Linked DNA regions of Xenopus tropicalis. The protein of the gene in region 5 purifies or fractionates together with the protein of the main gene of each other region. This does not show direct contact. Links are inferred from orthologs where the notes say so. Each region holds a gene or a part of one and is shown on either strand. Other genes may lie near its edges.

Region 1 (3,545 bases), on a different chromosome or scaffold from region 5:
TTGCAGCTCAGCATTAAAGTGCGACTGAAGTTTGTCAGAGCACAGGTCACATGGCTGGGAAATTAAGAATATGGCTAGCCCGATGTGAAATGTCTAAATTAAATATAAAAAAAAATTGTTTGTGTTTTTGAAAAATGGATTTCAATGCAGGATTCTGCTCTTTTAACTGATAAAAACGTATGTTTTCCCATGACAGTATTGGTCAAAATCAAGATGGGACATGTCTGTCTGGTTAGGAACATCAACCCCCATATTTTTACATGAAAATGCATATCTTTTATAATAAAATAGGTTTATAACGTAAAACAACTAATAAGAGTGTTATCACAAATGTCTAGGTCCAGCATCTCTATTTGAACCTACTACTGAAGTATAAAATAATGTGTCACTGGGTATTAATAAACTACTGTAAGCTCCACTGGCACAGGGACTGATGTGACTCATATATAATATGTGTAAAGCCATGTGGCTCTATAAACAGCTAATAATAAATATAAACTGTAACACACAGTCAAGCCTCTTCTTACTTACTCCTTCCTAAACCTGATGCATCAGCACGTATTTCGTTTATTCTTCTTGGAGTAAGAGATCCTGTGGTACCATTGTCACCAGATTTTTCAAAATGCTGGGGATGTAAGACCTAAAACAAAAGAACACAAACAAATTCATGGATACAAAAAAAATATTAAATAATTATTAATAATAATAATAATAATAATAATAATAATAATAATAATAATAATAATAATAATAATAATAATAATAATAATAATAATAATAATAATAATAATAATAATAATCATCATCATTGAAAAAGATTATGCTGCTCTATGATATCAGTTTAAACTTTTCAAGAAAAATGGCACAGAGCCGTGTGTTTTCAAGTAAGTATACAGGTACAGGATATATCATCTGGAACACATGGGACCTGGGGTTTTCTGTCATTTTGGAACACCATACCTTAAGTCTGCTAAAAATCATTTAAACATTAAGTAAACCCAATAGGTTTGGTTTTGCCACCATGCTACTAATGTGGATTTATGCAGCTTAGTTAGGATCAAGTACAAGGTACTGTTTTACTATTACAGATAAAATTAAAAATCCTTTTTTAAATTGGAATTATTTATTTAAAATGGACTCTATTCTAGATGGGCATCCCATAATATACTATGCACCCTGCAAAAAGCACCACTTAAAAACTTGGGTTCATCCTGGTGACATCTCTGCCATACCTGAATGCTCACTGCATATATGCATTTGCCCTTCTGGGAAACCAGGTACAAGTATAGGACCTGTTATCCAGAATGCTCTGGACCCGGATTAGGATCCCGGATAAGGGATCTTTCCATAATTTGGATCTTCATGCCTTAAGTCTACTAAGAAATCATTTAATAATTTAAACCCAATAAGGATTGTTTTGCCTCCAATAAGGAATCATTATATCTTAGTTAGGATCAAGTACAGGTATAGGACCCATTATCCAGAATGCTCGGGACCAAGGGTATTCCGGATATGGGGTCTTTCCGTAATTTGGACCTTTATACCTTAAGTTTACTGAAACACCAATAAAACATTAATTTGTTTTGCATCCAATAAGGGTTAATTATATCTTTTAAAAAATCTGAATTACTTGATTAAAATTGAGTCTATGGGAGACAGGCCTTCCGTAATTCTGAGCTTTCTGGATAATGGGTCTCTGGATAAGGGGTCAGATACCTGTACAAGGTACTGTTTTATTACTACAGAGAAAAAGGAAATTAGAATTATTTTCTTATAATGGAGTCTATGGGAGATGACCTTTCCGTAATTCGGAACTTTCTGGATAACGGGTTTCCAGATAAGGGGTCCCATACCTGTACTAGGTAACTCCCAGAAAACCCAGTGATTTGACTGCTATGCTACAGGAAAAGCATCATAAGTTGTAGTTTATGGTCTTATGAAAACTAGGGTCTCCATTGACGGCAAAACCATTTAGTGTTGTGTCATCATCTTGAATTACATGCTGCAAACCACTTGATATTTAATAGGGCAGGAAAATTTCTACAATATAGTGCATGCATACAACTTAGACAGAATTTGTGCCTTTTTTGGTAATTAGCTAAAGAAGATATAAACAATAATGTGCACATTCTCTGAGCTGTACCTCCTCACACAGTGGGATCTTTCCATCATTTTCTCTGATCTTGTCCCACAAAGGTGAATCATGCGTCCATGCCATGCACTCCAAAATCTGTTCCTCAATGTTGTTAAGATGCTTTACCACTTCCCGGCACAGGCCTTCCTCTGCTTTAATAACAACTTCAATAACCTGCCAAGTAAATGTATTCTTGGTTCTTACTGATTATTTAGGATGCCATGGCACTGTTTTTTTTTCTCATCATAGTAACATAGTAATACGCAAGTCTAATAAGCCTAACCTTTCGTGCCTATATATAACCTGCCAAAACACTAGTTGATCAAGAGGAAGGCAAAAAAAGACCCTTTCTGAAGATTCTCCGATTTGACTCAGAGGGGGTAAAAATTCCTTTCTGACTCCAAGATGGCCAGCAGCAAAACAAATGGAAGCAAGACAGGATTATTGGTGCTAAATACAAACATAAAGGTAGACAGATACACAGACAGGTAGATGAACAAATAAACTAAGAGGGACATTTATCTACAAATGCAAAAAAAAGTAGAGAAAGTAGTCTCCCAAAAATCAAGGGATCAATGAAATTGAACCTTTCCACTTAACTACCCAAATATCAATATGGTTTTCATAACCAAAAGAACAAAAGTGTGAAAAGTACCAATAACCTACACATTTATATTGTACCGATATTATCTACAAAAGTACCTTGTAAAATTGATATGGTGCCAGCTCAAACATGACAATTATACTGGGGAAATTTCCAGGAGGCTTGTAGGAAAATACAGTGATTTCAAGGCAGCAAGACATCAAGGAGCGGTGGAAAACATCTTGTTCTAGAATACTCTGCAAATAAACAAACAAGAGCAAAGAAAATGAGCCAGTTACATCAATAAACCATGAAAAAAATTCACTGGTCTTTGGTTATCATTTAAAGGGATATTGTAATTAAAATTAACCTTGTTTTACAGTATATCCTCACCATACCCAAACTTTACATGAAATATTTTCTTGGATGTACCAGTTAAAAAGATCTCGTGAATAACAACTCATGGCACATCCTTATCGCCAGATTTGCATCCAGTCCCTCCATAGGCACAGCTCCCAGACCACTCCCTCTACTACCTAGTCACTAAAGCCTCAGCACACATGCAATAGCCTTGTACTGGGGTACCCTCTCCCAGCTCAACCACCAGATTTAGCCACATTTGTCCAGGGCAAGCAGGGAGTTTTAAATGAGAAGGAAAGGTAAAAACTAAGTAAGCTTTATCAGAAAGGTCTATGTAAATACAGCCATAAGAACTCACATAAAAGCTGCACTAAGTCCTCTATCAAAAGAAACACAGGATTTCTTGTCTCTTTTTTTGTAAACATGTTCTTTGGTATCTGACTGCCTCTCTCAAAAAAAATCTTCATT
Region 2 (3,545 bases), on a different chromosome or scaffold from region 5:
AACACCTAAAAAGGAAAGCAAAGGCTTGTTTTTATTGTGCGTGTTCAATTTTTCTAACATATAAAATAGTTTATACCTTTATACCTTTAAAACTTTAACATTATTGCACCCCCTCCCTATGGTCATTGAGATTACTATAAATTAATACAAGTTTTATTGTAATTAAGGCACTGATAAATAAGCATAAAAAAGCTAAGGCTGATGGACCATGGGGAGATTAGTTAGATCAGTTAAATCTCAGCTACTGCAGGCGACTAATCTTCCTAAAATGCCTTCCCACCAAATATAAAGTGAATCGCCGGCGAGAAGGCATACATATCGCTTTGTTTTCTGAGGTCGCTTAAAGTTTCCTCTTGCAGGAAATTTTACTTTATTGCCTGTGGAAAGGTATTTCAGGGAAATTAGTCACCCACGGTAGCCGAGATTAACCGCAGGCAACTAATCTCCCCATGAGCCATTGCCCTACCAGCAAGTAAACTTTCAGTCAAAAGATTAGAATCCTATACCAGGTCTATGCTATTTGTTCATTACAAAGAGCAATTTCTTTGTTTCAGTTCTAGCTGTTGTTAAGTGTAGGCTGTGTGACTCCTCTTCACCTGTCCAGGGCTCTATGCTCAGTCATTTAGTGTGGCATAAGACAGCCAGAATAGCAAGAATAGATAAGAACTTGATAGAGGGAAGTACTTGCCTTGAAATATTGTGTATAGAGTGTAAGCCCTTGGCCTTGCCACTTTAATAAATATGGCAACACCCCGCAAGCAACAATCCACAATTAGGTCACATGAAATAATAATTTGGTCTTTTACTCAGGCAGCCAGTTCAAACCACTTCAGATTTTCTGTTGCAGTCTTTCAGTTTCACAAAGCCGACAAACGATGCACATCCACAAATCATAGAGATTGCATGCAACACAACAGCAATAGATACCCATTACTATTGCATTAAGAAGAGTGTACCTTGTATAGTTCTCCTTATATCCAGCAATATCATCATTTGGTGACCTTAGTCTTCGCTGGGAGGGAGTTTCCAAATGCCAGTAGTTGATGCGATTCAGGAACATTTTAGCCAGCTCTATGATAGTCTGTCTTTCTTTGGAAGGCAAATGGCTGAACTTGTACTGTACAAAATTATTTACACCCTTTAAAGAAAGTAAATACAGAGATGCACAGTGAATATAGTCTTCATGTTTTCAGACTACCTAGAAAGAAGATAACACAGATTTTGTTTTCTTGACCCCTGCCTGAAAAAAACGTGAGCAGTGTAGAAAGTAATTTGCTCTGTAATACAGACTCTGTTACTTGCTGCTGATCAGCTCAGTTCTGCTTGGCTACAATTAAGGCTGCCATCCAGATACTGATGCCCCAGTAAAGGTGGCCATACACTGTAAGATCTACAGGTGGGCGATATCGGGGTAATTCAATTAATTAAAACGGCAGGCATAGGCGACGTTGGTTCGGGAAGCGCATCAACTAGCCAATTCGGTCCCCAAATTGGTCTAAAGGACTGATATCAGCACCTAAAATCGGCCCATGTATGGCCACCTTTAGGCTTTAATAAGCCAATACTGAAAACTGGTCATTACTGTACATTGTTAAATTATTGTGCATGGCATGTGGTAGCTTCATAGTGTGGTGCAGAATGCAGAGAATGGGTTCTCAGTCAGCACACTTAGGTTAAATTGACTATAAAGAAAATAAATGAATGAGAGATGGTAGTTATATTTGCCCTTTAAACACTTTAGTGACCTAGAACTAGGAATTCTTCCCACTATCATTCTAGAAGAATAAGGTTATAATGACATAAAAAGCATTGTCAGAAAATTTTGGATTTTTTCTTCTAAAGCAACACACATTATTATATCTACTAAAAGAGAATAATGTAGGATTTTGCAGATTTGCCATTGGTTATGTGTTTATATCGCAAAAGGTCCAAAAACACGAATATGTAATGTAAGGACAAGAGTGTTCCCAATGTAGTCACTGCTCACTAAAGGGGTTGTCCACCTTTAAATTAACTTTTGTATGATGTAGACATGATATTATAAGATAATTTGCACTTGTTTTTTAATTTTGTTTCCTTTTGGTTTATCAGTTATTTGGAATTTAGCAGCTGTTTTCTAGGGTCCTGTTTACCATAGCAACCAGACAATTTGAATGAGAGACTGAAATATGTTTTGGAGAGGGACTGAATAGAAAATTACGTAATAAAAAGTAACAAAAATAATAAAATTGTAAGTTCACAGAACAACAGTTTTTTGGCTGTCGGGGTCAGTGACCCACCCCCCCCCCCCCCCCCCCATTGAAAGCTGGAAAGATAGAGAACAAAATGGCAAATAATTCAAAATCTATAACAAAAAAATAATAATAAAGACCAAAGTTGCTATGAAAAGGACATTTTATAACTAAAAAATAATATCAGTGATATACATCCCTCTACAGCCCAAGATTTCCAAAAGTTGCCTTGTTAAGAAAACACCACTTTCTAAGGAATAAACAATTAGACACTGATTAACAGCCTGGAACTTTGATAAGTACAAAAAGAAATACAAATATACATACATTAAAAAACTAAGGTAGGTAGGAAAAGATGTCAGATCCCCATTACCTGCTCAATACTAGGCTTCTCAAATGGAGGGGAACCCAATGATCCTTCCACTGCAGGTTTCACCATTTGCAGGATACACTTCCTCAAAAGCTGAATAGAAGAAGTATGTACATGCTTTATTCTTAGTTGGTAAGATACATTTCAGCAATAGAATAAAATGTAACTCTAAACCCACACATGACTATAAAATAATGCTCTCTTCAGCTATAATTTCATTCCCTGTTTTTACTTCCAAACAAGTTGGCAACTGTTTTGTATTGAGCTGTAGTATTTAACAACAGTTGTGGTTTAGAAAAAACTACCCATGGTGCACTGAGCTGAACTTATTCTGACATACCCTAACATGAGAGCCAGCATTACCCACAATTTCCTTATAGTCGGGCCATGCCTCCCAACTGTCCCGATTTTCAAAAGACAGTCCCAATTTTGACAGCTTAGCCCGCAGTCCCAGATTCTTTCTAAAAAGTCCCTCAAGCTAAAAAAGATACAATCTTTCTCAAACTTAATTAAAAAAGTAGCTTTTGGCAGAAAGCCCAGAAAAGTTAAGAAGCTACACATGCACTTAGATACAATTGTAACTAATAAGCTAAACAGGTTTTTTGTTTTTTTTTGCAAAACACAACAAGACCCCCAAACCCCCAGAAATGTGTTCAAACTTTAAATAACCTGCTATATTTTGTAAAATGGGAGTGGTATTTTAGGAGGTGTGGTTGCAAAAATGGGCGTGGTCAAAAATGTTGTCCCTCTTTGCATTTTTCAAATGTAGGGAGGTATGTACCCGCAAACAAAAGAGGAAAAGTGGGTGGCTAAAATTAGTACAAAATTATTTGTGTGCACCACAATATGGTGTATGTCCTGAACAGAAAATTTGCCTTTTAGTAGTCCCATAATACAGGGTTAGACATCTGTGTCCAACATACCTGCTTGTCTAATGTAAGTAA
Region 3 (4,182 bases), on a different chromosome or scaffold from region 5:
AGACCACAAGATGGTCAGAAAGCTATCAGCAGAATGTTTTGTAGCAGGGATTCTGTACCAGTTAATTTATGAAGCCCTAATAAGAAAGGTCTCAGTGGAGGTCACCACAAGTGTCCAACATAAAAAAAATTTGTGTATTTATTGTCTAATGTCCATTGGTAAGGCTGTAAGAGGAGAATGCTATAAATTTATCAAACTCAAACTAATTTTTTCTAATATAGTAAGGATAATTCTGTTATAAACTAAAGATTTTGCTAGCATGGTTATTTCTTTCTACTAGGCACAACTAGGCCTATAACAAAAATAGGCATCTTTACCTATACAGGGCCTGGGTGCCCAATCACTTGAGCTGGCATGAGATGCACCATCATCATCTTCACTGTCACAAGAATGAAAGCCACCAGCAAGATCATCATCCAGATGGATACCCGCTGTAAAAGAATTCAGCCAAGGGGTTTAAAACAAGGCATTTTCTGAAACAAAGACTGCACCAAGAACAACGTTTTCTATCCAATACACAAGTACATTTTTGTCTTTGTGGCAAAGATAACACATTTTGTAACAATTTAATAATCACTCTCAGTGAAAGGGTGTAAATGAGTGATGAGTGGGGTCACAAAATACACTTTTTCCTGGAACTCAATCTGTTAGTGACGTCACCAAGGTGGAGGCTCACAGAAAAAGATGATGGTAGGTATAACAATACCAGCACCTGGACCCACCAGAACCAGCAACCCAAACTCACCTGACCAGAGGACAGTTGATTTACACATCACTAGTGGAAATTTTAAATGTTTCGTCCACACCTCCTGAGTTGTTACTCATTGTGAGCAAAAAACAATGGGAACTGCCCTGTGTGCAGTGCTGATAATGGGAACTCATTCCCCCAAACCCTAGCACCCTCAACTAGCCTCCATTAGCCAACTCCCTGCTCCCATTCCACATGGACAATTATGCTAAAAAAGATCACAAAATGAGCAGATCTTCACCCGCTGGTCATAGGTGCTGTCAGACAATGCATCCCCAATCAGAAAACCACACCTGTCCCATCGAGATCTGGACAATTTAAGACTGTCAGTCGTGTAGGCCTGAAGGACCCGAATCGGAAGCTGAAATACCTGTGTATGGCCAGCTAAAGTGCTGCCCCAGTAGTATGGAGGCTGGAAAAGCACAGAGACAGATCAGGGAGTGGCAGTGAACTTGGCTCACCACCCACAAATTGCAACCCCTGGGTTATGCAGGTTTTAGGTCGACCTGCACTGTTGTGAAACCTCCATAAAAATGCAGAGTACCGTAGAGGAGATCATAGGTGCCATCTTCTGTTTCTTCAGATCCTCTTCATGCAACAAATCCACAATTTTTAGGATCCGGCCAAACCCTGAATCCTTTGCAAAAGATTCGGCCGAATACGGAACCGAATCCTAATTTGCTTATGCAATCTTCAGAATCTTGCTGAAAATGGCCGAATCCTGTATTAGATGCATCCTTGCACTTCACAGAACCTCCTTGCACTTCTTCAGAACCTGAGCAGTTGGAGCTACTCTGGGATCAGCTTTAACTATGCATGTCCCTCAGGCTCTGTGTCAGCAAAGTGAGGATACAAAAAGTGATGACTGTGACTCCCGTTACTCTGCATTTAATGGCAGGTTCACACACATGGACACTTTTAAATGTAACTTTGTGGGGCTAAAAGAGGCCAGTTAAGGAGCTGTTTTGGGGAGGCTGAAATTTCCTTCAGGAAGGACCCTTAAGTTTCTTTATCCTACCAGTACAAGGACAGTTAATGAGCTCTATACAGCCTATGTGTAGATAGTTAAGGCCAAGAGAAGGCAATAGCCTCCCTTTTGGGAAAAATGCCCTGAAGGGAAGAAAAGTAGTGATGTGCCTACATTTTAGCCACATCCAAGCCATTCACAGCCTGGGTTTGTACATGTGTAGTTGAGTAAAGCTCTTTGACTTGCCTGCTGTAGGGATTCCAAAGAGAAGGTAAGTGAAGATTTTACCCTGGGCTGGTGCATTTTTTTCTACAAAGGAGCAGCGGCCCAACTATAGGGTGTAAGCATAACTTTTAAGCTTTCTTGGGCAGGGCTCTCTTCACCTGTTGTATCAGTTATTGATTGCTTTATATGTTACTCTGTATGTCCAATGTATGAAACCCACTTGTTGTACAGCGCTGCGGAATATGTTGGCGCTTTATAAATAAATGTTAATAATAACTCACTCACATATACCATTGCTAATGTTTTTAAATGGAATATATGTTCAAACTTGGCAAAAGCACCTTCATTTGTATGGGTCAGTATTAGCAAATGGAAGGGAGAGAGGAGTAGCACTCTATACCCACTGATGCGCTGAATCGCCCACATTACTGCACTGAAGAACCTCCAAACACCTACAGAATATGCCCCGCCCAATGCCGCTGTTAGTAGGGAAAGAGTTAAAGGGAACCAACCTCCGTAATCAACAGCCTGATCCGACAGGTCTCCATTGGGCATCTCCTCGGCTCCGCCCTCCTCCTGGCCTTGTACCAAATACGTTCCCAAAGGAAGGCCCTGAAAGCCCGAGCCATTGTGCGCTCTGGATTTGCTTTCCATTGCCGAAGAGGCCTCGCCTTCCTCCTGGAGAGAAGCAGCTATAGGCGGCAATGCCGCTTTTCCCTCGCTTTCAGCCCCCACAAGCTGGCTCCCACCCCCGCCGGTATCTTCCAAGCGCTGCCTTTTGGAAAGGGGCTCGCCATTTTCTTTTGAGACAGCTAACACAGCGCCGGCAATGGGAAAACCTACACGATCTGAGTCCGCCATCTTCCCACTGCCAGAGAAGGAGTCGCCCATCAGCTGTACGATGGAGCGCAGCGAACCACGTGATACACCGTTTCCTATTGGTTCCCCGGCCGTGTGACGTGTACAATAACAAACTAGCCACTCGCATGGTACCTGGGGATGCGCTGGCACCGCCACAACGAACGGAGAGGGTGTTGGAAAGCGAAATCGGCAATAAAGTGTCATTTTCAGGGGTGTGTTGGTGTGGTGATTGTCAAGCCCGCAAAGCCTGTTAGCAGATACAAAAGCCAAAGGAGAGGGGCATTTTTTATAGTCCGTGTAAAAACTTTCTCTTGAAGTTGTCTCATGTCTAGGGGGAAAAGAACTGGGGAGATGCTGAAACCATTTTGGCGTCATTAATCAGTGTAGGTTAATAATATTTGGCTTAAGCATCATTTTTAGAAGCTCTGTGCATAACACATTTGTGGATGTAATTTGCCGAAATTGCCTTAAGAGGAAACTTGGGGCGACTTTGGCAAATTGCTGCGCATTGTATGCCACCCCACCAGCGATTTAAATTGTAGCCAGTGGGATGGCATTGCGGGGAGATTAGTCGCCCGCGACAAGGGAGATTTGTCACTAATCTCACCATGTGTCCCTGCCCTAAGGGGAAAGACACATGGAGCTACTAGTAGCAGCTACTTTTTCAAGGTTACTAAACTCCAGAGAATCCCCTGCCATAGACAATACTGAGAATTGCCAAAAAAAACACATAGAGACGGTTATCAGTAAATGATCAGCATTGTCTAATTTAGTAGCCACTACAAGTAGCTGCTACTAGTAGCTCTGTGTGTCTTCACCCTAAGGGCTCTGGCACACGGGGGAGATTAGTCGCCCGCGATAAAACTCCCTGTTCGCGGGCGACTAATCTCCCCGAGTTGCCTACCCCTGCCATCCCACCGGCGAACATGTAAGTCGCCGGTGGGATGGCAGACGCAGCGGGGCAATTTCAGGGAATCGCCGAAAAAGACTCGCGAGTGGGATGGCAGGGGTAGGCAACTCGGGGAGATTAGTCGCCCGCGAACAGGGAGTTTTATCGCGGGCGACTAATCTCCCCCGTGTGCCAGAGCCCTAAAACAGAATATGAACAACTAGAATGGCTATAGAGCAGTGCTGCAGTGCCGAGGGCCGGAATTTCTCTAGCATACGTGGTGGAGGGCCGCTAATGGAAGCCAGTTTTGACCACTCCCCTTTTTGAAACCACACCCACTTCAAACCACACACATTTTATCACAATGGTGGTAGCACAGCAAAATCCCAAATGCTTGGTGCTTACTGTGGGGATATCAACCATCATTCATATGTGAAAGAATTATGTCATATTAAGATATACCCTTAAATTCCATATGCCTCCTCCTCCCCT
Region 4 (3,545 bases), on a different chromosome or scaffold from region 5:
AAGCCAAGGCACACATACACGCTAGGCCCCATCAGCCAATGAATGGGCAGAGTTCTGCCTTTTACTCCCACACTACTTCCTGTTACAGTTAGAGCTGCATTATTTCCTGTCAGCTGATCTCTGAGGGGGCACACAGCCCATCACTAAATGGCGGCTCAGGGGAAAGGATGTAAAAGGGCAATATTTACTGATATATATATATCAGTTTGGCGAGTTTCTTTAATAGGCCACTTAACATAGTAAAAATTATCTGTTGATTAAGCATTCATTCAGGGGGTATAGTTTCCTTTAAACAAACCTTACCTGGAACAGTTGGTTAGCATTTCCTTCAGTGATTCTGAACTGAACCCTGAGCAGCCGCCAAGGTTTAATCGGATGAGATCTTCATTCTGGGAAATGGAGCTGAAATAAGAAATGACGGTGAGTTGCAGCGCCGGTACATATTTGGAAACATGAGTGCAACTGCCAGCCAAAAATATGTTACTGGGCCATAATCTCTACCGGATACATACCTGGAGCAAACTATATTAAAGGGCCATATGTCTATATTTTTTGTAATTGTTTCTATGGCTTTGCTAAAAGGGGTACTTTACCTTTAAATTCACTTTTAATATAATGTAGACATTGATATTCTGCATAAATGTGCAATTGGTCTTCATTTTTTATTTTATGGTTTTTATTTGGCTTTTTGTTCAGCTAGTCTTATTTACCCTAGCAACCTGGCAGTAGTTAAAACAAGAGATGGGAATATGAATAGTAGAGGGTCTGCATAGAAAGATAAGTTATAACAATATTATTGTAGCCTCACAGAGCAATAGTTTATGGCTGCCAGGGTCAGTGACCCCCCCATTAGAAAGCTGGAAAGAGCCAGAAGAGGAAGGCAAATCATTATTTTTTTTTTATAGTTGTGCAACTTTTATTCCATTACCCTATAAAACTGTAACATTAACCTGTATAGCAGATACATTTATCCTGCTACACTTCCACCGGAGGAGGAAACCTTAAGGCGGTGGTTCTAGCACTAACCATAACACATAGCTGTAATACTGCCTTACCGGGTTATATCGTCGGACAATACCAGTCCCTCCAAGCTCAGGTTCTGCAGTTTGTGACAGCGGGAGAGGATACTCTGAAGAGCACCCACGCTGACTGTACTGTTAGAAAGGTCCATGTGGAGCAGGCGCAAATGTCTAAAAAAAAAAAGAGATAAAGGGGACCATTATACCAACCAATGAGATTTTATTATTAAATGTTCGGGATGAGGGAACAATGGAGATCCCATATCTAAAAGCCACCTTGTTCTAATGGTATTTGCTTGGCAAGGATAAAACAGTATTCTCCATATTTAAAGATGCACTGGCCACTGGGGTGCGCTGTTTCACTGTAGTCTATGGGCAATGTTCGAGGAAGAAGTATGTTGGTCTAGAACAGATTATTATTATGGAAGACACAGTATCTTTTCCCTTATGCATCCTTCCCCCTTATGTGAGGGGCGCCGGTGGAAAAAGAAAGGGGAAATGTGGGAATAACTTATTCCTCAAAAAATAAATAGAAAATAATAAATATTTACCCATAAGGATTTATTAGGCCTCTAAATGGTGCTGGGCCTGGGGGTAACTGTATTTATAGAAAAGATGTTACAATGGACAAAAAGCAGAAGGAACTGGAGTGCAGAGAGTATGTGGGGGTTTACACCCAAGATCATTATTGTTAGAAGCCACTTACTGCAACAACGTAGGTCGCACATGACTGTCATTGTTGCTTTCAACTGGGCATTTAGCCGGCAGTAAGTGTCTATAAGGAATGCTCTGATTGGATGGCATATCATCTGGCCTTGCCTTAGCCTAAATATTTTACACCCTCTAAAGCTGGCCATACACATTCAAATTTCAGCTGCTGATTTGGATCATTAAGGCAGAATTAGCAGCTTATCTGCACACGTATTGCCTCCCTGACTGATATCTGGCGAAAATCAGCCAGGTGTCAATCGGGCAGCATTGATTTACCCATTGGATCGGGGACTCCATCAATGAGCTGATGCGGTCCACGACCCAATTGGTAAATCAATCCTACCCAATTGTGCTCCCTATGCACACATTCACTGGCCTGTTTAGCAGCCATGTTAAGATCCATGATGGACACTTACCTAGTCTTAGTAAACATTGGCTCGCCCATGCAGGATCTGGGGCAGCGAAATGTAACCACGCCCAGAGACAATACTCTTCCTATGATTCCATCCGCCAAGTGTTTGCCAGTAAGATCCAGGCTGTGCCACAGGGACTCATCCGTTCTGAGGGCAGAGGGGAAAGGTGACAGATAAATTAAGGGGTCACAGGGTACAACTGCTATTAAATTGCTGCCAGACTGGCAGTCAGGATATTGTTAAATGCCAAAGGGGCTACTGTATATAAGCTGCCATAGACTGGTGCTTTATACTCTGAATTTGTGGCCTCACTGAGAGCCATTTATGTGCCACTGATACCAATGGAGCGGTCTACAGGGCACAGACGAAACACACAGTAAATGCATAAAATGTCATTATAAAAAGGAACTTACAGAAGTCGGTGCCATCGCTTGCAGACCCGGGCAGCTCTCAGAAGGTCAATGAGATGCAAGTAGTTAAAGATGCCCAACAGCAACTCATCAGGCAATGTGTCCCAGGAGATGACTGAAAAGGAAGAGGTAGACAATGAATATCTGCAACCTCAGATAAAGACTAAGGATCTTGATGTTCCATGCTACATGCAATGGCTTTTGCAGCTTGGCAGTTGCCCTTGCTTATGATCAGTGCCCCTTGCTGCCCTGCTTGCTGGCGCTCAGAGGAAAAGTTGCCACCTTACCACTTCAGCTAATTATTGGCCCATGGGTGAAGCGCTCAGAACCGCTTGTTCAACAAGCCTCTGGCTGATACACACTAGCCAGAAAGCCTCAGCATTTCCCCAGCCCAAACAGTGAGCAAATAAAGGGCACCGGGCAGTATAAGCACTACCCCGGCATATGGTGCTCCCAGGGGTTGCGACAGGGCAGGAAGCTGGGGGGAGCGGGAATGGGATCAGATACGGCTGTCAGTCACAGCATGGGAGCACTATAAGGTGATAAAGCCATTGTTGCCTCTTTCTGCTGATTGCCTAAAGGTGGCCATACACGCACCGATATTATCGTACGAAACGTCGTTTCGTACGATAATCGGTGCGTGTATGGTATGTCGGCGAGTCGACCGATATCGCAGGAACCTGCTGATATCGGTCGACTCGCCGATCGGACCAGTTGGAAAATTTTGATCGGGCGCCATAGAAGGCGCCTGACCAAAATTCTCCCTTCAGATCTGAATCGGCAGAAGGAGGTAGAAATCCTATTGTTTCTACCTCCTTACCTGCCGATTCAGCCCTGAATGGTGTGTGGCGGATCTTACGATGTTTCGTGCGACCGATCGTCAGATCGCCACGTGTATGGCCACCTTTACACACAAGCGAGAAACACAACTATAACACAATTTGGCAATAGTGCTGGATAGAAAAACAAACAAAAACAAACTCAAAGCCTAT
Region 5 (3,846 bases):
ATATTACACAAGGGCAATGGCATAACTAGCATACAACTGGGTGGCCAGACAGGCGCCATATTTGCTCCCCACAGATGCTCGTTGACCCAAGTATGAAAGCAAAGGGATGGGAAAGGTTTAAAGTTTCACACTGCAGTGGAAGATGGGAGCCACTTTTGCCCTCCACCAAACCCCCCACTCCCTCACCCATAATGCCAGGGCCTGGAAAATGTATCTGCATTGGGCCCTGCCTTCTAATAGTACACCGATGATTATACATATCATTTAGATTTTACAGAAATTCTGGAAGATTTTGGGGGCACATGAACATCACCAATGGAATAATTCTGGTAAAAAGAACATGGGGTCGGGGACAATGTAACCAGATGCATCAAGTGAGAGGGGGGTTGTCAATAGCTTGGCGTCACGTCATCTTGTTTTTTCTGTGTTTCGCACTGTTTTCCTTTTCTAAATAAAATGTAATAATTAAAAAATGCTGTGAAACAAAAACAATTAAGGATGTGAACTTAAGATGATTTGCTGTAAACCGCTTTTTGCTGAAAAGTTGTTTTTTTTTATTGGCAATGAAAATAGATTTATTGATAAATTAAGCTAGCTCAATCAAACACACTGATCCCGTCTGCTCTTCAATTCAGAACAGCCCTCAATTAAGGGAACAAAATGAAGAAAAAAAAAAAAAGTTAACTTTTACTTTACTACATAAACTCGCTTATAAATACAACTTTTAAGGGCAGTTTTTAAGTAAAAATATACGCAAACAACCAACTTACAGAATAATCCCCCCCAACTCTTTAAACCTTTTTAGCTGTACACTCCAAATCAAAAGCTTCAGCCTGGTGCATTTTTATATACAAAATCTGTAACTTAAGTGATCAACATAATAAACAGCATAGGGAACAAATTATATATTATATAAAACCACAACACTATAGAACACCGGCAGCAAGCTGTTTGCACGGGGTGTTCGTAAGGTTAAAGGAAGGGACAACAATGCTGCTGGGATTTAATAAATTAAAACAAAATGTGTCACAATGCATACTACTTCCTCTATAAGGATGCACAGGAAATGCCAAGAGCGGGGAAAAGAAATAGGGGCGGCCCAAAGCTCTTCATTCAGAGAAAGAATGACACGAAGACTGTCTGTGCTGAGAGCTCTTACGTACTAACATACTGAAGTGGTTAGGCCATCAGCAACCAGTTCATCTGCTTGAAGGTTCATTATTAAAGCCTCACTTTTCTCCACCACCCACACCAAGCCCTTAACCCCTCTGAAAAACATTTTAAAAATGCATCATTTCCCCCATACACACACACATATGGGTAAATATAAGTGCTAAGACCAGACTATAACCTCTCGTTTCTTGTTTAATCTTCTGCAGTAGGGAGAGAGGTGTGTGTGCGTATATATATATATATATATATATATATATATATATATATATATATATATATATATATATATGGAAAAGGAAGCACACCATAAGAATGCGATACCTAGGTGCCAGAGCGAGGAATCAAATATAGTGTAGGTTATATAGTGTAGGTTGTCAGCACTCATAGGTTTTAAGTAATAAAGCAAAAAAGGCAACAAATAGAAAAATCAAGCAGTGAGGTTTATTTGTTCCGATGTTTCAGTCCTATACAGGGACTTTCGATCCCTGACGAATGTCCCTGTATAGGACTGAAATAAACCTCACTGCTTGATTTTTCAATTTGTTGCCTTTTTTGCTTTATTACTTAAAACCTGAGCGCTGACAACCTACACTATATATATATATATTTATTACTCACACACACATTTATTTTGGCGCTTGATTAGTAATACAAATTAACATCTCCAAAATCGATTTTCTTGCATTACAAACATGAACCTCCAAAAGGAATGTGGACCATAGGAATATATAGCCTTATAAGACAATTAGGAACTGGAGCAGCAATGAATGATTATTGGTAATAGGTTCTGTGCTAGACAAAAAAAAAAAATATCCTATTCAGGCACTATTTTACAAATCCAGAGCTGTGAGGCCACTAAAGTCACAGTCGAAGTTGAAAAGTTCTGCAGCACCCTCGCAGGTTTGCAATCCAAAGCTGTACTCCTGTGATGAAGCAGGAGACAGGCTGATGAAGTCATTGGGGAGAAAGTCCGGCATAGCATCCCGGTAGTCCAGGAGGAGGTTAGAGGGAGAAAGTGGGAGACAATTCAAGGTAGAATCAAGAGGTATTTCATTCTCTGGTGGCAGGAACGGCTCTACAAAAAACATGACAAGTAGGTTATATTAGTGGAGTGAGAAAATACAGGGTTATTGATAATAGCTCTTACAACAAGTTGATCCAGGAACTGGTCCAATTGTCATCTTGGTGTCAGAAAGGAAATTTTTTACCGCAACTGAGGGAAAACTGGAGAAGCTTCAAATAGCTTTGGGTGGGGGGCTAAACCCTTCCTGAGCTTAGGAACTGACCGGCAGTGAGAGTAAAGGTGGCCATAGACGTTAAGATCCGCTTACTTGGCGAAGTCGCCAAGTGAGCGGATCTCCTCCCGATATCCCCCACCAACAGGTGGGCGATATCAAGCAAATCCAGTTGTTTGGCCGATTGAACGAACGAATTAGAACGATGGTAATAGGACCGATCCGACTAAATTTTTTAACCTGCCCGATTCCAGGCCAGATGTTGGTCGGGTAGGCCTGTCGTTAGTGCCCCTACACGGGCCAATAAGCTGCCGAATCGGTCTAAGGGACCGATATTGGCAACTAGAATCAGCCTGTGTATGGCCACCTATAGAGAGAGTGTGAGTGTAATAAACAATAGAGGTCATCAGTATTATTGTATATTATTGCTGCTGAGATGTTCTGTGACAAAGTCTCCACCTCGAGTTGCAGGAACAAAGAACATGAGCAGGTAGGATTCTCATTGATGGATTACAATATAACCATGATATTATTAAACTACAGCTCCAAATGCACTTGATACCGTGATGTTAAAGTAGGCTGGAATTTGTAGCAGCAAGTCAAGTAAGGTGTAAGTAATCAACATGGATGTTGGTCTACTATGTGCCAAACAACAGACAAGATACTTCTATGTAATGCTAGCCATTCAATAAAGCTTTGAAGCCTATAAATGAAAAAAAAAAACTGCCACTTTCCAGCACATGATTTATTAAATCCCCAGTTCCACAGCAATGCTTTTTAGATCTGCTGTTTTTGTCAACCAAACATTGCACCTTAAATTTGCAAGCTCTGGCCTTACTTTGTAGTGCCACCAGAATTTGACCTCATTAGCCGAGACTGATTAGTATAGCCCTTGCTAAATGGTAGGTTTGCTTCTCGTTTAGCAGCCTGACTCTACAGCAGCAGATTTCCATGCAATCTGAAGCAGTTAGATCGGATTAAAGGAATAGTAACACCAAAAAATGAAAGTGTATAAAACTAAAATATAATGTGCTGCTGCCCTGCACTGGTAAAAGTTGTGTGTTTACTTCAGAAAGTCTACTATAATTTATATAAATAAGCTGCTATGTAGCCATGGAGGCAGCCATTCAAAGGAGAAAAGGCACAGGCACATAGCAGATAACAGATAAAACACTATTGTATTCTACAGAACTTATCTGTTATCTGCTATGTAACCTGTGCCTTTTCTCCTTTTTCCAAGCTTGAACGGCTGCCCCCGTGGCTACACAGCAGCTTATTATATAAATTATAGTAGTGTTACTGTAGCAAACACACCAGTTTTACCAGTGCAGGGCAACAGTGCATTATATTTTTATTACTTTAAAGCTCTTTCATTTTTTGGTGTTACTGTTCCTTTAACAGATTACTTAGACCAAGTTTGTTTGGAGACTTTGCTTTG
Region 6 (4,099 bases), on a different chromosome or scaffold from region 5:
CCTGACGGCCCTTCCGAAAACTGGGCTGTCTGGGTCAAATAAATGACAGATGGCAACCCTGACAGCCTCTGATGCCACCGTAAAAAAAACAAAAAACAGCCTATGGGCCATGGCAGACAGGGAGATTAGTCGCCACGTGACAAATCTCCCTTGTAGCGGCTGACTAATCTCCCCGAAATGCCATTCCACTGGCAAGAATGTAAATTTATTTGCAGCGCCGTATATGCCATCCCACTGGCGATATACATTCTTGCCAGTGGGATGGCATTTTGGGCAGATTAGTTGCCATGCCCCTAAAACTCTTTCCGTAAATTTTATTGTCTCAGCCTTTGTTTACAAAACACCATGTGACCCTCATAAATAAATTTGCCACCTCATGTCAGAAATACTACTGTAAATACCCTGTAGTCTGCTGACATGAGTAATGGCCAAGAAAGCATATTTAAAGTATGATAGGAAATTTCCCTATTTCCTGGCCACCTCATGTCTGCAATACTACAGGGGTATTTACGCTTACATGTGTAGCAGCCAGGAAAAGAAATTTACGGTAAGTATGATAGGAAATTCCCCCTTTTCACCATGCCCTAGTAAACAAAACCTCTCTCCTTGTGGGTCAAATGGGGAGAAGGAAAATAAAACCTCTTTATTTTGTTCCCTGGCACAGGAAAAATCTAAATGACTGCAGGTGTAATATTGGGAGTTAAAGCTCTAGTGGCAGCAGGCATAGCTCTATGGCTTGGAATTTCAAATGTCACCTGGTTGCTAGGGCTTAACTACCCTAACAACCAGGAAGTGGTTACACAGCTAGAATGACAAGCAAATAAAGAATACGAGCAGCAATTAAATGGAATCTTCATAGGCAATGAGTTTTTTTGTTTTTATTATTGGAGCAGTTAACCCCCAACAAATTGCATTTTCAGCTGTGGAAAATTCCCTTTTACGCCGTGCCCTAGTAAACAAAACCTTTCCTTGACGGTCAAATGGGGAGAATGAAAAAAAAAGTCTCTTTATTTAGTTCCCTGGCACAGGAAAAATCTGACTGATATTGGGAGCTAAAGCTCTAGTGGCGGCAGGAATATCTGGCAACTTGACACAAACACAAACTACCGCGAATTGTTACTAGCAGATACTGAATGTGAGGTACGCCGTGTCTGCACGCCACGCCCCCAAGGCGGCTACGTGCCGCGTCACTGCCTTTACGTCTAGTTGTGACGCCTCAGTCTCGCGTGATGAGACTTGTGGCGACGGGATTTCCCGTGAGACAGGAGAGAATTTGCTTGCTGTTACCGGCATTGTGTAAGTAGCGATTCGGTACTACGGGCCGTGTTAAGGAAATCGGGACTGCGGGACTCTTGGGCAGTATGTACATGTTTTAGTTGTTCAGCCGCTGACCATTAAGAGAAGCATAGGAGTTGGTTCGGGTGAGAACTGCACACTCATCCTGCCGGCATTGTGAAGCAATGGCCTTTGCGTTGGGCCCCACAGCATTACAGGGCTCTTTTTGGTGCCAATATAGCATCAGCTTCTGATATGATACAGACAGCAGTATCCCAAGGCTGGTTGCAGTTGGTCTTTTGTTTTAGGAGTTTTTAATAATTTGTTGGGTATTTGGTTGTTCCTGAAGCTCTATGGCTTGGAATTTTCAAATGTCATCTGGTTGCTAGGGCTTAACTACCCTAGCAACCAGGACGCCATTACACAGCCAGAATGAAAGATGAATAGAAAGACAAGCAAGTGAAGAATATGTGCAGCAATTCAATGGAATCTTCATAGGCAATGTGTTTTTTTTGTTTTTATTACTGGAGCAGTTAACCCCCAACAAATAGCATTTTCAGCTGTGGGCTAAAAGAGGCAGAATCGACATTCCAACTTTTTCAAAGTGACACTGAATAGGTAATACAAACCAGTTGAATCTGTTCATTCAAACAGTATGAATAAATGCCATTTCTATATGCTGAAATCCAGCTGCAAAACAGTTCTTCTCTTTCTGCATCATTTGAAATCCTGGCAGGGGAGGAGGGACTAAAACACTGATGTTACAAATTGTAACAACTTGTCCACAGCCTACAGACAGCATTCAGGAACTACATAACCCACAATGCATTGCACTGTGATGTTCCTTTCCTTATTGACATCACGTGTGCAGGGAATTATGGGATTGGGAGGATGCAGGCTGGGGACAGGCGACTACTGTTACATTTTATTTGAGTCACAAAGTAGTCAGCCAGATCAGCAGGGGAACAGGGGGCGGGGCTTAGGGAACTGTTCCAAACCATATTATTACATTAAAAATCATGAAAAGGCTGCATATTTTTTAACTGATATATATTGCGAAGTTGCTTGAAATTATGTTTACTTTTCAAAAAGCATTTGTGTTTGGGTGGAGTTCCCCTTTAACTTCAGATGTGGCCAGTTATACATTCCTCACCTTCACTGCTTTTCCATTTTGAATTCCGGTCTCGCGCCCTTTGCAACTTCTTGGGCCTTTCCACCTGTGACTTTAGTCCTGCATCCCCATTCAGAACTTCACACAGAGGGACTGACACAAAATCTACCACAGTCAAGAAAATGGAGCAGGCTCATAGGGGCCAGTCTGGGGCAATTTACGTTTAGAGAGCCATACCTTATTTTTATGGTGTCTTCTTGAGTGAAGTCAACATTTTTTTTTTTTTTTTAATTTGTGCTATCTCTATTCCCAATTTTAACTGTATGTACATGTTATTCTTGTATATGAAATGCATTGCCATTGAGAATGTTGTGTCATTGTGATGTGTTGGTCTACTGTCCCCATGATCTCAGTTAAAGGAGAAGGAAAGCCTAAATCACTTGGGGGTGCCAAAATGTTAGGCACCCCCAAGTGACTTTAATCGCTTACCTTGTACCCCGGGCTTGTGCTCCTGTTGGGAGAGAACAGCACCAGCCCGGGGTACTTGTAGCGCTTCCTCCTTCCGCGTTGGCACATTGCGCATTAGAGTGAAAAGCCGAACAAAGTCGACTTTTCACTCTACTGCGCATGCGCCGGGCCAGGGATTTCGCCGCAGAAGAAACGTGGTATACTGCTTCCCCGGGCTGGTGCTGTTTTCTCCTAACAGGGGCACCAGCCCAGGGTACGAGGTAAGTGATTAAAGTCACTTGGGGGTGCCTAACATTTTGGCACCCCCAAGTGACTTAGCCTTTCCTTCTCCTTTAAAGGGAAGGAAAGGCTAAGTCACTGGTGGGGTGCCAAATATTATGTATTGTAATTGCTTACCTAATACCCCTGGACTGTGCCCCTGTTAGGAGAAAACTGCACCCGGAAGGGGTATAAGCTTGTGTTTCTCTTCCCCGGGCTGGTACAGTTTTCTCCTAACAGGTAGAAGTGATTACAATCACTAGGGGAGGGGGGTGTGCCTAACCCTAACATTTTGGCACCAGTAATTGTAACTTTCCTTCTCCTTTTAAGCTGGGTATGTGACCAGATATTGATGAACAGTTTTCATCCAACATGGGTGCCGCATGCCTGTGTTTAGGGGTTCAAACAAGCTGAACTGTGATCAGAGGTTGCATTAAATTTTAAATACTGTGATACAACATTGGCCTACCAACTTTTGCAGCCAAATTGGCTAATCTGCCATTTCAATTCTCAGACTGAATGGGCTAATTCAGGGGACCCCAACCTTTTCTACCTGTTAGCTATATTCAAATGTAAAAAGAGTTGGGGAGCAATGCAAGCATGTAAAAACTTAATGGGGGTGCCAAAAAAGGGCTGCAATTGGCTATTTGGTAGCCCCTATGTGGACTGGCAGCCTACAGGAGGCTCTGTTTGGCAGTACACCTGGTTGTTTATGCAACAAAACTTGCCTCCAAACCTGGATTTCAATAATAAGACCCTGCTTTGAGGCCACTGGGAGCAACATCCAAGGGGTTGGTGAGCAACATGTTGCTCCTGAGCCACTGATTAGGGATCACTGGGCTAATTGGTCGATTGCTACTTTCCTGCAGGGAAAAGCAGCGTCTCTAAAAGTAAACCCTCTGGGCCCTGTCACACTGGCAGGAAATCTTGATTTTGTGACCACATGCCTAGCTACAGTGGCCTATATGCTTTTAAGGTGGCCTATAT

What was found.
Region 1: the proteins of e2f1 (region 5) and rbl2 purify together in Homo sapiens (affinity purification with western blotting; 3 studies listed by BioGRID and IntAct, with this or other methods). This does not show direct contact. The link is inferred for Xenopus tropicalis from reciprocal best matches to the Homo sapiens genes E2F1 and RBL2.
Region 2: the proteins of e2f1 (region 5) and kat2b purify together in Homo sapiens (affinity purification with western blotting; 5 studies listed by BioGRID and IntAct, with this or other methods). This does not show direct contact. The link is inferred for Xenopus tropicalis from reciprocal best matches to the Homo sapiens genes E2F1 and KAT2B.
Region 3: the proteins of e2f1 (region 5) and sirt1 purify together in Homo sapiens (affinity purification with western blotting; 3 studies listed by BioGRID and IntAct, with this or other methods). This does not show direct contact. The link is inferred for Xenopus tropicalis from reciprocal best matches to the Homo sapiens genes E2F1 and SIRT1.
Region 4: the proteins of e2f1 (region 5) and skp2 purify together in Homo sapiens (affinity purification with western blotting; 6 studies listed by BioGRID). This does not show direct contact. The link is inferred for Xenopus tropicalis from reciprocal best matches to the Homo sapiens genes E2F1 and SKP2.
Region 6: the proteins of e2f1 (region 5) and psmd14 purify together in Homo sapiens (affinity purification with western blotting; 3 studies listed by BioGRID). This does not show direct contact. The link is inferred for Xenopus tropicalis from reciprocal best matches to the Homo sapiens genes E2F1 and PSMD14.

The regions. Positions count from the first base shown.
Region 1 is NC_030680.2:49,421,779-49,425,323, forward strand, and holds part of rbl2 (retinoblastoma-like protein 2), read right to left. Parts: intron 2,975-3,545; coding exon 2,837-2,974; intron 2,309-2,836; coding exon 2,144-2,308; intron 641-2,143; coding exon 532-640; intron 1-531. UniProt on the Homo sapiens protein: Key regulator of entry into cell division. Directly involved in heterochromatin formation by maintaining overall chromatin structure and, in particular, that of constitutive heterochromatin by stabilizing histone methylation.
Region 2 is NC_030682.2:45,629,706-45,633,250, reverse strand, and holds part of kat2b (histone acetyltransferase KAT2B), read right to left. Parts: intron 2,695-3,545; coding exon 2,605-2,694; intron 1,139-2,604; coding exon 957-1,138; intron 1-956. UniProt on the Homo sapiens protein: Functions as a histone acetyltransferase (HAT) to promote transcriptional activation. Has significant histone acetyltransferase activity with core histones (H3 and H4), and also with nucleosome core particles.
Region 3 is NC_030683.2:38,239,831-38,244,012, reverse strand, and holds the start of sirt1 (NAD-dependent protein deacetylase sirtuin-1), read right to left. Parts: upstream 2,802-4,182; coding exon 2,453-2,801; intron 432-2,452; coding exon of another isoform or gene 318-431; intron 1-317. UniProt on the Homo sapiens protein: NAD-dependent protein deacetylase that links transcriptional regulation directly to intracellular energetics and participates in the coordination of several separated cellular functions such as cell cycle, response to DNA damage, metabolism, apoptosis and autophagy.
Region 4 is NC_030677.2:198,008,191-198,011,735, reverse strand, and holds part of skp2 (S-phase kinase-associated protein 2), read right to left. Parts: intron 2,669-3,545; coding exon 2,557-2,668; intron 2,291-2,556; coding exon 2,147-2,290; intron 1,191-2,146; coding exon 1,056-1,190; intron 403-1,055; coding exon 304-402; intron 1-303. UniProt on the Homo sapiens protein: Substrate recognition component of a SCF (SKP1-CUL1-F-box protein) E3 ubiquitin-protein ligase complex which mediates the ubiquitination and subsequent proteasomal degradation of target proteins involved in cell cycle progression, signal transduction and transcription.
Region 5 is NC_030686.2:41,701,458-41,705,303, reverse strand, and holds the end of e2f1 (transcription factor E2F1), read right to left. Parts: intron 2,249-3,846; coding exon 2,004-2,248; 3' UTR 531-2,003; downstream 1-530. UniProt on the Homo sapiens protein: Transcription activator that binds DNA cooperatively with DP proteins through the E2 recognition site, 5'-TTTC[CG]CGC-3' found in the promoter region of a number of genes whose products are involved in cell cycle regulation or in DNA replication.
Region 6 is NC_030685.2:72,340,089-72,344,187, reverse strand, and holds the start of psmd14 (26S proteasome non-ATPase regulatory subunit 14), read left to right. Parts: upstream 1-1,267; 5' UTR 1,268-1,296; intron 1,297-1,322; exon of another isoform or gene 1,323-1,359; intron 1,360-4,099.